Linked DNA regions of Mus musculus. The main gene of each other region encodes a partner of the protein of the gene in region 2 in a complex. Links are inferred from orthologs where the notes say so. Each region holds a gene or a part of one and is shown on either strand. Other genes may lie near its edges.

Evidence for each region.
Region 1: Chd4 (region 2) and Mta2 share a complex: the UniProt entries of both Homo sapiens proteins name them as parts of the nucleosome remodeling and deacetylase (NuRD) repressor complex. The link is inferred for Mus musculus from reciprocal best matches to the Homo sapiens genes CHD4 and MTA2.

What each region holds. Positions count from the first base shown.
Region 1 is NC_000085.6:8,944,906-8,948,469, forward strand, and holds part of Mta2 (metastasis-associated protein MTA2), read left to right. Parts: intron 1-850; coding exon 851-968; intron 969-1,100; coding exon 1,101-1,164; intron 1,165-1,361; coding exon 1,362-1,479; intron 1,480-1,742; coding exon 1,743-1,845; intron 1,846-2,131; coding exon 2,132-2,231; intron 2,232-2,346; coding exon 2,347-2,535; intron 2,536-2,619; coding exon 2,620-2,694; intron 2,695-2,821; coding exon 2,822-2,880; intron 2,881-3,119; coding exon 3,120-3,217; intron 3,218-3,351; coding exon 3,352-3,491; intron 3,492-3,564. UniProt on the Homo sapiens protein: May function as a transcriptional coregulator. Acts as a component of the histone deacetylase NuRD complex which participates in the remodeling of chromatin.
Region 2 is NC_000072.6:125,126,948-125,131,122, forward strand, and holds the end of Chd4 (chromodomain-helicase-DNA-binding protein 4), read left to right. Parts: intron 1-1,844; coding exon 1,845-2,040; coding exon of another isoform or gene 2,041-2,043; intron 2,044-2,872; coding exon 2,873-3,054; 3' UTR 3,055-3,644; downstream 3,645-4,175. UniProt on the Homo sapiens protein: ATP-dependent chromatin-remodeling factor that binds and distorts nucleosomal DNA. Acts as a component of the histone deacetylase NuRD complex which participates in the remodeling of chromatin.

The DNA of each region.
Region 1 (3,564 bases), on a different chromosome or scaffold from region 2:
TGAACTGGGCCTACCAAGTTTCCTGGCCCTTTGGGGTTTCCGGCTCCATCTGGCAGGGGCTGACCTTGGCCTTATCCAATCAGAAGGGGTAGGGGTGTGGTTCTTTTTGCCCTACCTCTGGGTTTTCCTAGAGCACAGAGAGACACGGACACCCCCACCCCAAATCTGTACCCCCATTTTTCAGGGGAACAATGCACCGATGAGCATGTGCCTGAGGTTTCTGTCTTCTACTTTGGTTGGCACTTAGCCAGGTTAACTGTTTCTACGGAGATTTCAGTGCAGGCCTCTTGGTGCCTCTTGGTGAGGAAGGTGTTGGCACTGGTTTCAGAGTTGCCCTTCTTGAAAGCCCACAAACTATTATTAGCCAAGTAGAAAGAGAAGGAGCATTAGGTTGCATGTGATGTTTCAGACACAGCAAGGAGTCCTGAAGTATGAAGAGGAGCTGGTAAATAAACAGCGACCATGTGTGCTATTTTTACTTCTTCTTAACTGGATTTTAGGACCTCGGACTGGTTGTGCAAGAAAGAGCTAAATATGATGTCACACTGTATTATGGCTCTGTTTGTGCTTTCTGCGTGTTGGCAGCTAGGGTTGGGTGCATTTCTGTGGTATCCTTATACTCTCACAGTATAAGGATGGGATAATTCCTTTGACGGAATTAAAGAGAGGATGGAACATCTACACTGAGGTGTAAGGCCGAAAGGGGGGGCTGGTAGGATAAGAGTGAGCTGCCCGAGGAAAGCAGTGCTGGGCAGCAGCTGAGGTAGGCTCTCCTTTACCAGACTAGCTAGCTGGCTAAGGTACCTGTTTCTGAATTAGTTTATGACTTGGTTTTTCCTCACTATTCTAGGGGAGTTTGAGGAGGAATCAAAACAGCCAGGGGTCTCCGAGCAGCAGAGACATCAACTGAAGCACCGAGAGCTTTTTCTTTCTCGGCAGTTTGAATCATTACCAGCCACCCACATAAGGTATAGGACGATCAGGGTCACTGTGGTCTATGTGCCCTTGTTTAGAAGATGGAGAGAAGGGGGTGGTGTATTGGAGATGGCAGGTAAGGAGGGCTGCTCATCCAGGACTTTTGGGTTTGTCCTTTTTCTTAGGGGGAAGTGCAGCGTGACTCTCTTGAACGAGACAGACATCTTAAACCAGTATCTAGACAAGGAGGTGAGGAGCTGTTGGGATAAGAGGGAGGTGAGAGAATGTTGCCCCTAAAGGCAAGTGAGGTGGTAAAGGGGCCACGGACCTCACAGCCGTGTGTGTGTGTGTGTGTGTGTGTCTGTGTGTCTGTGTGTGTCTGTGTCTGGAGAGACCTTACTGTCCATGCAGATTCCTTCCCACTAACCTCCTCTCTTCCTCTTCAGGACTGCTTTTTTTACTCACTGGTGTTTGATCCTGTGCAGAAGACACTTCTGGCTGATCAAGGGGAGATCAGAGTTGGTTGCAAATTCCAAGCTGAGATCCCAGATCGTTTGGCAGAGGGTAAGCAACAGAACAAGAAGTGCTTGAACATGAAAGTTTCTGTTGATAGCTTGATTTGGGGTACCAGTGTGGAATCTGCTAGGTGTTGTGTTGTGGCTCTGACAGGGTGAGACTTAGGAACATGAGAGAGACAAGTGGGCACAGCTGGGAGGGGAGTTCTGAGGTCTGATAGACTCCAAGCAGAGCAGAGGAAAAAGAGCCATTGTGAGTGACTATGAGTTATTTCCCTCTCTCCCTCCGTGGTGATTCTGTTGTTTCCTCAGGAGAATCAGATAATCGAAACCAACAGAAGATGGAGATGAAAGTCTGGGACCCAGACAACCCTCTCACAGACCGGCAGATTGATCAGTTTCTCGTGGTGGCCCGGTGAGGGTGGGTGGATCAGGAAGGTGGGCTGGGGAGGAATGGACTGAGTTCTGCGTCTCATCCAATTTCTTTCTTTCTTTCTTTCTTTCTTTCTTTCTTTCTTTCTTTCTTTCTTTCTTTCTCTCTCTCTCTCTCTCTCTCTCTCTCTCTCTTTCTTTCTTTCTTTTTTTTTTTTTTTAAAGTGGGCTTTGTTTTAGGCCTGGGCATTTTCTTTTTCTAATTAGTTCCTGAACCTGCTTGAATTTTGAAGGGGAGAACCCTTCTTGACTTCTCAATCTCTCTTTAGAGCTGTGGGAACCTTCGCGAGAGCCCTAGACTGCAGCAGCTCAATTCGGCAGCCAAGCTTGCACATGAGTGCAGCTGCTGCGTCCCGAGATATCACTCTGGTAAGTGCCAGCTGATAGATAGTTGGGCGTGTTGAGGCAGGAGAGGAGGGCGGGAGTCCTGAAGAAGGTGCTTAAAGAGTAGCAAGTCCTTAGCTTTGTTCTATATTTTTGGTAGTTCCATGCCATGGATACCTTGCAAAGGAATGGCTATGACTTGGCCAAGGCTATGTCAACCCTAGTACCACAGGGAGGCCCGGTGCTCTGTCGGGATGAGATGGAGGAATGGTCTGCTTCTGAAGCCATGCTGTTTGAAGAGGCTCTGGAGAAGTACGGGAAGGATTTCAATGATATCCGCCAGGACTTTGTAAGTGAACAGGACTAGGAGGAGGGAGAACGACGATGGAGCTAGGATCACATGCCATCTCATCCTGTTTGCTGTTCTTTTTAGCTACCCTGGAAGTCACTTGCAAGCATAGTCCAGTTTTATTACATGTGGAAAACCACAGACCGGTATATTCAGCAGGTATGGGTCAGGCTGGCTGGGAGGCTGGACCAGAGGCTATCTGCTTACCTCTCTGCTGTTTCTTTTGTTTGATTTCAATTTGTACTGAGATGCTCTGAATTTCTTTCTGTTTTTCTCCTTCTTACAGAAAAGATTGAAAGCTGCTGAAGCAGACAGCAAACTGAAACAGGTCTACATCCCCACTTAGTAAGTGTGGCAGAAAGGGAGATGGTGTCTTCCTTAATGATTGGGGGTAACCAGGAAGCAGAAGCAATTGTAGAAGCTGTAGCTCAGTGAGAAGCATGGGCTTAGTATGCACAAGGCTGTAGGCTTAATCCCCAGAACTCCAGAGAGTCGGAAATAGAAAGTAAAGTGGTGGTAAGAGAGACACAAGTGGGTTGTTTTCTTAACTAGCTTCTGTCTTCTCCTCTTGTTTCGTTCATTAGTACCAAGCCAAACCCTAACCAGATCATTTCTGTGGGTTCAAAACCTGGCATGAATGGGGCTGGATTCCAGAAGGGCCTGACTTGTGAGAGCTGCCACAGTGAGTTCCAAGGGGGGACAGGGTTGCTGGGGATAGGTGGTCCTAGGGTGGCTTATTCTCTGTCCTGGGAATTTGAGGATCTTGGGTGGCATATTTCCTGCCAGCAAATTTCCCTTCTCTCTCTACTCTTGTAGCCACACAGTCTGCCCAGTGGTATGCCTGGGGACCCCCTAACATGCAGTGCCGACTTTGTGCTTCCTGTTGGATTTATTGGAAGAAATACGGGGGACTGAAGACCCCTACCCAACTTGAAGGGGCTGCTCGGGGCACCACAGTAAGAATCAGTGGGTGGGAACTTGGCATGGTGACTGAGGCAGGTGGGTGAGTTAGAGGCCAGTCTGGTATAC
Region 2 (4,175 bases):
AGTTGTTACAGAGCTTAGCTAGAAGACACAAAGCCAGCACACCTCATAAAGCAGCATGTGGTGCCTGCCTGTAATCAGCACATAGGATCTCACAGGCAGGAAGAACAGGAATTTAAAGTTGTTACTTGGCCACATTGTGAGTTCAAGGCCAGCGTTGGGTTTGTTTGTTGGTTTTGTTTTTTGTTTTTTCAAGACTGGGTTTCTCTGTGCAGCCCTGGCTTTCCTGGAACTCACTTTGTAGACCAGGCTGGCCTAGAACTCAGAAATTGCCTGCCTCTCCCTCCCAGGTGCTAGGATTAAAGGCATGTGCCACAACTGCCCGACAGCGTTGGGTTTTTGAGACTGCATTTTATTTTTTTAAAGAAACCCAGATAACCTGATTGATTCCATAGGCCAGGTGACTATGCCACTATTAAGAAAAAGCTGGGTGTAATGGTGCATGCCTTTAGTCCTACCACTCAGGAGGCAGAGGCAGGTGAATCTCTGAGTTAGTTCAAGGCTAACCTGGTCTGCAAATCCAGTTTCAGGATGGCCAGGGCTCTGTTACACAGAGAAACCCTGTCTCTTAAAAAAAAAAAAACATTTTTCCTTTAATCCTAGCAGTTGGATAAGTGGATTCTAGCCAGTTTGAGGCCAGCCTGGTCTACAAGTGAGTTTCAGGCTACACAGAGCTACAGACTCAGATGCTGCCTCAAATAACAACTACTTTTGTTAGTAGTGGTTTTTGGATTTTGCCTACAGCTCCAGCTGTTCCCAGGTATTTGAGAGTCAAAATTATACCTGTCACTCCCATGGTTTTGAAGGACAAAAGGAATATCTAGTATGTATTTCAGATATATGGTCATGAATATAATGTGACTCTTGTCATGTAAAAGTTGTATACATAGAAAAAATTGGAAAAAATTAACAAAATACTAACATGCTTCGCAGGAATGATTATCTGTGGCGTTATGTACTTACAGCTGTGAGTCTGAGGCTTGGGCTGCACGAGCCTGTGTAAGAGGTCAGAGGACAACTTGTGGTAGTTAGTGTTCTTTTTTTTGGTTTTGGTTTTGGTTTTGGTTTGGTTTGGTTTTTGTTTTTGTTTTGAGACAAGGTTTCTCTGTGAAGCCCTGGCTGTCCTGGAACTCACTTTGTAGACCAGGCTGGCCTCAAACTCAGAAATCCGCCTGTCTCTGCCTCCCAAGTGCTGGGATTAGAGGCGTACCATGCCCGGCAGTAGTTGGTGTTCTTGCCCCATGTGGTTCTGGGCATCAAATGCAGGTGCTTAGGCTTTGCTGCACGGCCTTTACTCTCTGAGCCATCTTGCCAGTCCATAATTCTATATAAATTGTATGTTTTCTAAGTTGAGTCCTTACGATTTCTCTGAGAATCTAAAAAGTGTGGACCTCCAGGGCTGGAGAGATGCTCAGTAGTTAAGAACACTGGTTCCTCTTCCAGAGGTCCTGCATACTCATACATAAAATACAGTGTTAAAAATGTGGACTCCAGCCGGGCGTGGTGGCACATGCCTTTAATTCTAGCACTTGGGAGACAGAGGCAGGCAGATTTCTGAGTTCAAGGCCAGCCTGGTCTACAAAGTGAGTTCCAGGACAGCCAGGGCTACACAGAGAAACTCTGTCTCAAAAAACAAAAAAAAAAAAAAAAAAAAAAGAGAGAGAGAGAGAGAGAGAAATGTGGACTCCAGTGGGTAGGAGGTGCTGGCCTGTTGAAGTCCGTGGGTGAGGAACAGTGTGGAGGGGCCGGCATTTCTTTACAGATTCTTGCTAGCTGGAGGAAGAGATGAATCTGTCAGTGAGAACGTGGCCATCAGTCCAACCCCTGTCTTCTTTCTCCGTGTGCAGCTCTTAGAACAAGCCCTGGTGATCGAGGAGCAGCTTCGCAGGGCAGCTTACCTGAACATGTCCGAGGACCCCTCTCACCCGTCTATGGCCCTTAACACCCGCTTCGCTGAGGTGGAGTGTTTGGCAGAAAGTCACCAGCACCTGTCCAAGGAGTCGATGGCAGGGAATAAGCCGGCCAATGCAGTCCTACACAAAGGTCGCCAGTGGCTCCCCTGCCTCCTGCTCCTTCCACCTCCCCCTCCACTCTCCCCTCCCCAACATCCATAAACAGCTTATTTCCAAACTGTCTGCCGAGCCTGTGTGGAACCTTAGGATGTGAGCTGAGGGGATTTTCTTTGCAGGCAATCGAGGACAGCGATTTTCTTTGAACTCTTAAGTCTATTGAGATTTTGAGCATAGCTTTATGGGGGGGGGGTGAAATGAAAAGGTGGGTGTCATAAAGGTAGCCGGGGACATTGGGGATATAAAAAGGTGTGGATGCAGAGAGGAGATGGTAGGAACTGAGCCTCTCAAGTGGAGGAGCCCAAGGCTGAGAATAAAAACTCTGTGGGCATTTGCTGTGCTCCCAACTTGGGAGCACTTGGAGGCGGGAGCACGATGAGATGTGCTCATGCTTGGCTGCATAGGAAGTTTGAAGCCAACCTTTTATATAAAAAAAAAAAAAAAAAAAAAAAAAAAAGAAAGAAAGAAAAAGAAAATGGAGACAATAGTGAGAAGGAATAATGAACTAAAGTTTGGTGGCTCTTAAAAACAAGAATCCGCCAGCTGTGGATGGCCGATGCCTAGAGTCACAGGGACTCAAGAGACACAGCAGGACCTGAGCTCAAGTCTCAGGCCATCCTGGACAACATGTGAGACCAGAGCCACTTGCAACTAGAATGGGAGGAATAGCTGGGTGGGCAGGCCAGGTAAAGCGAGTGTCAAGAGCGTATCCTGTGTATGCCAGCGTGACAACCAGCCCTGTGGGCCACAGCTGTGCCCTTGACTACCACAGCTCACGGCCTCTTTCTTTCTTTTTCCCTCTGCAGTCCTGAAACAGCTGGAGGAACTGTTGAGTGACATGAAAGCTGATGTGACGCGGCTCCCAGCCACCATTGCCCGCATCCCCCCAGTCGCTGTGAGGTTACAGATGTCAGAGCGGAACATTCTCAGCCGCCTGGCAAACAGGGCGCCAGAACCTCCCCCACAGCAGGTAGCCCAGCAGCAGTGAAAGACCCAGAGTGATATCCACCTCCACCACTCAGCAGTGACCTTCCTCACTTTCTCTTGTCCCGGCTGCCCCTGGGGGCCAGAGAGACCCTTGCCTTCCTTCTGCCCATCTTCTGAGTTGTAAAGGAACAGCCCTGCGCAGTGGGGCAGGGAGGGAGGGAGAAGCAATGGTGCCCTTCCTGCTGGAGAGACAAGCAGCAGTAGCGCAGCGCCCGCCCGCCATGTGCAGGAGCTGGCGGGCTGGCTGCCTTCTGGACCCTGGCTTCTCCCCACCGTGCGCCTGTTACAAACTGTTGTGGATTCTGCCAGGCTCGAAGAAAATGATCTGAATTTCTTCCTCTTTTTGGTTTTATTTTGTTGGTTTACTTTGTGTTTTCTCCTTTTTGGGGGGTATTCAGAGTGGGCCGGGCCCCTGGGCGAGACACAGCTACCTCTGTTGGCATCTTTTTAATACCAGGAACCCAGCGGCTCCAGCCACTGAGCAGCTAAATAAAGTTGGAAAAAAAAAAAAAAAGAAAAAGAACCAAAAGCATAAAAAACCACAGCAAATTTCTTGATGAGAACTGAAAATAAAAGTTTCCTTGTATTTTAGTGATCTGGTTCTGTGTGGGTGAGTGTGGGTTCCAGGTACCCCAGGAACTGGCTTATCCTGGAAGACTGCCTGTGCTCCTGACAGGGTGACATTCTGGCGAACAAGAGGCTTCTGGACCATTGTTTATAGGCTCTGATCTTTAGCAAACTGTTCGCAGAGCACTCCTGCAGGAAGTAGCCACTTGCCTGGTACAGTTGTGAAGACATTGGGCAAGTGTTCTACCATGGAATACATATGCGTGAATATGTAATTATAGAAGTATAAATTTTTTGAGGGTCTAAGTAACAACTGCCTGCCCCTGCCTCTCAAGTGGGGGAATTAAGGATGTGTTACCTTAAGTATAAATTTTTTGAGGGTCTAAGTAACTACTGCCTGCCCCTGCCTCTCAAGTGGGGGAATTAAGGATGTTACCGTACCCTAAAATTTTTTCCTTGGTTTATTGTTATCACTTTTTTTTTGTTTGAAGATTTATTTATTATTATATATGAGTACACTTCAGACACACCAGAAGAGTGCATCAGATCTCATTG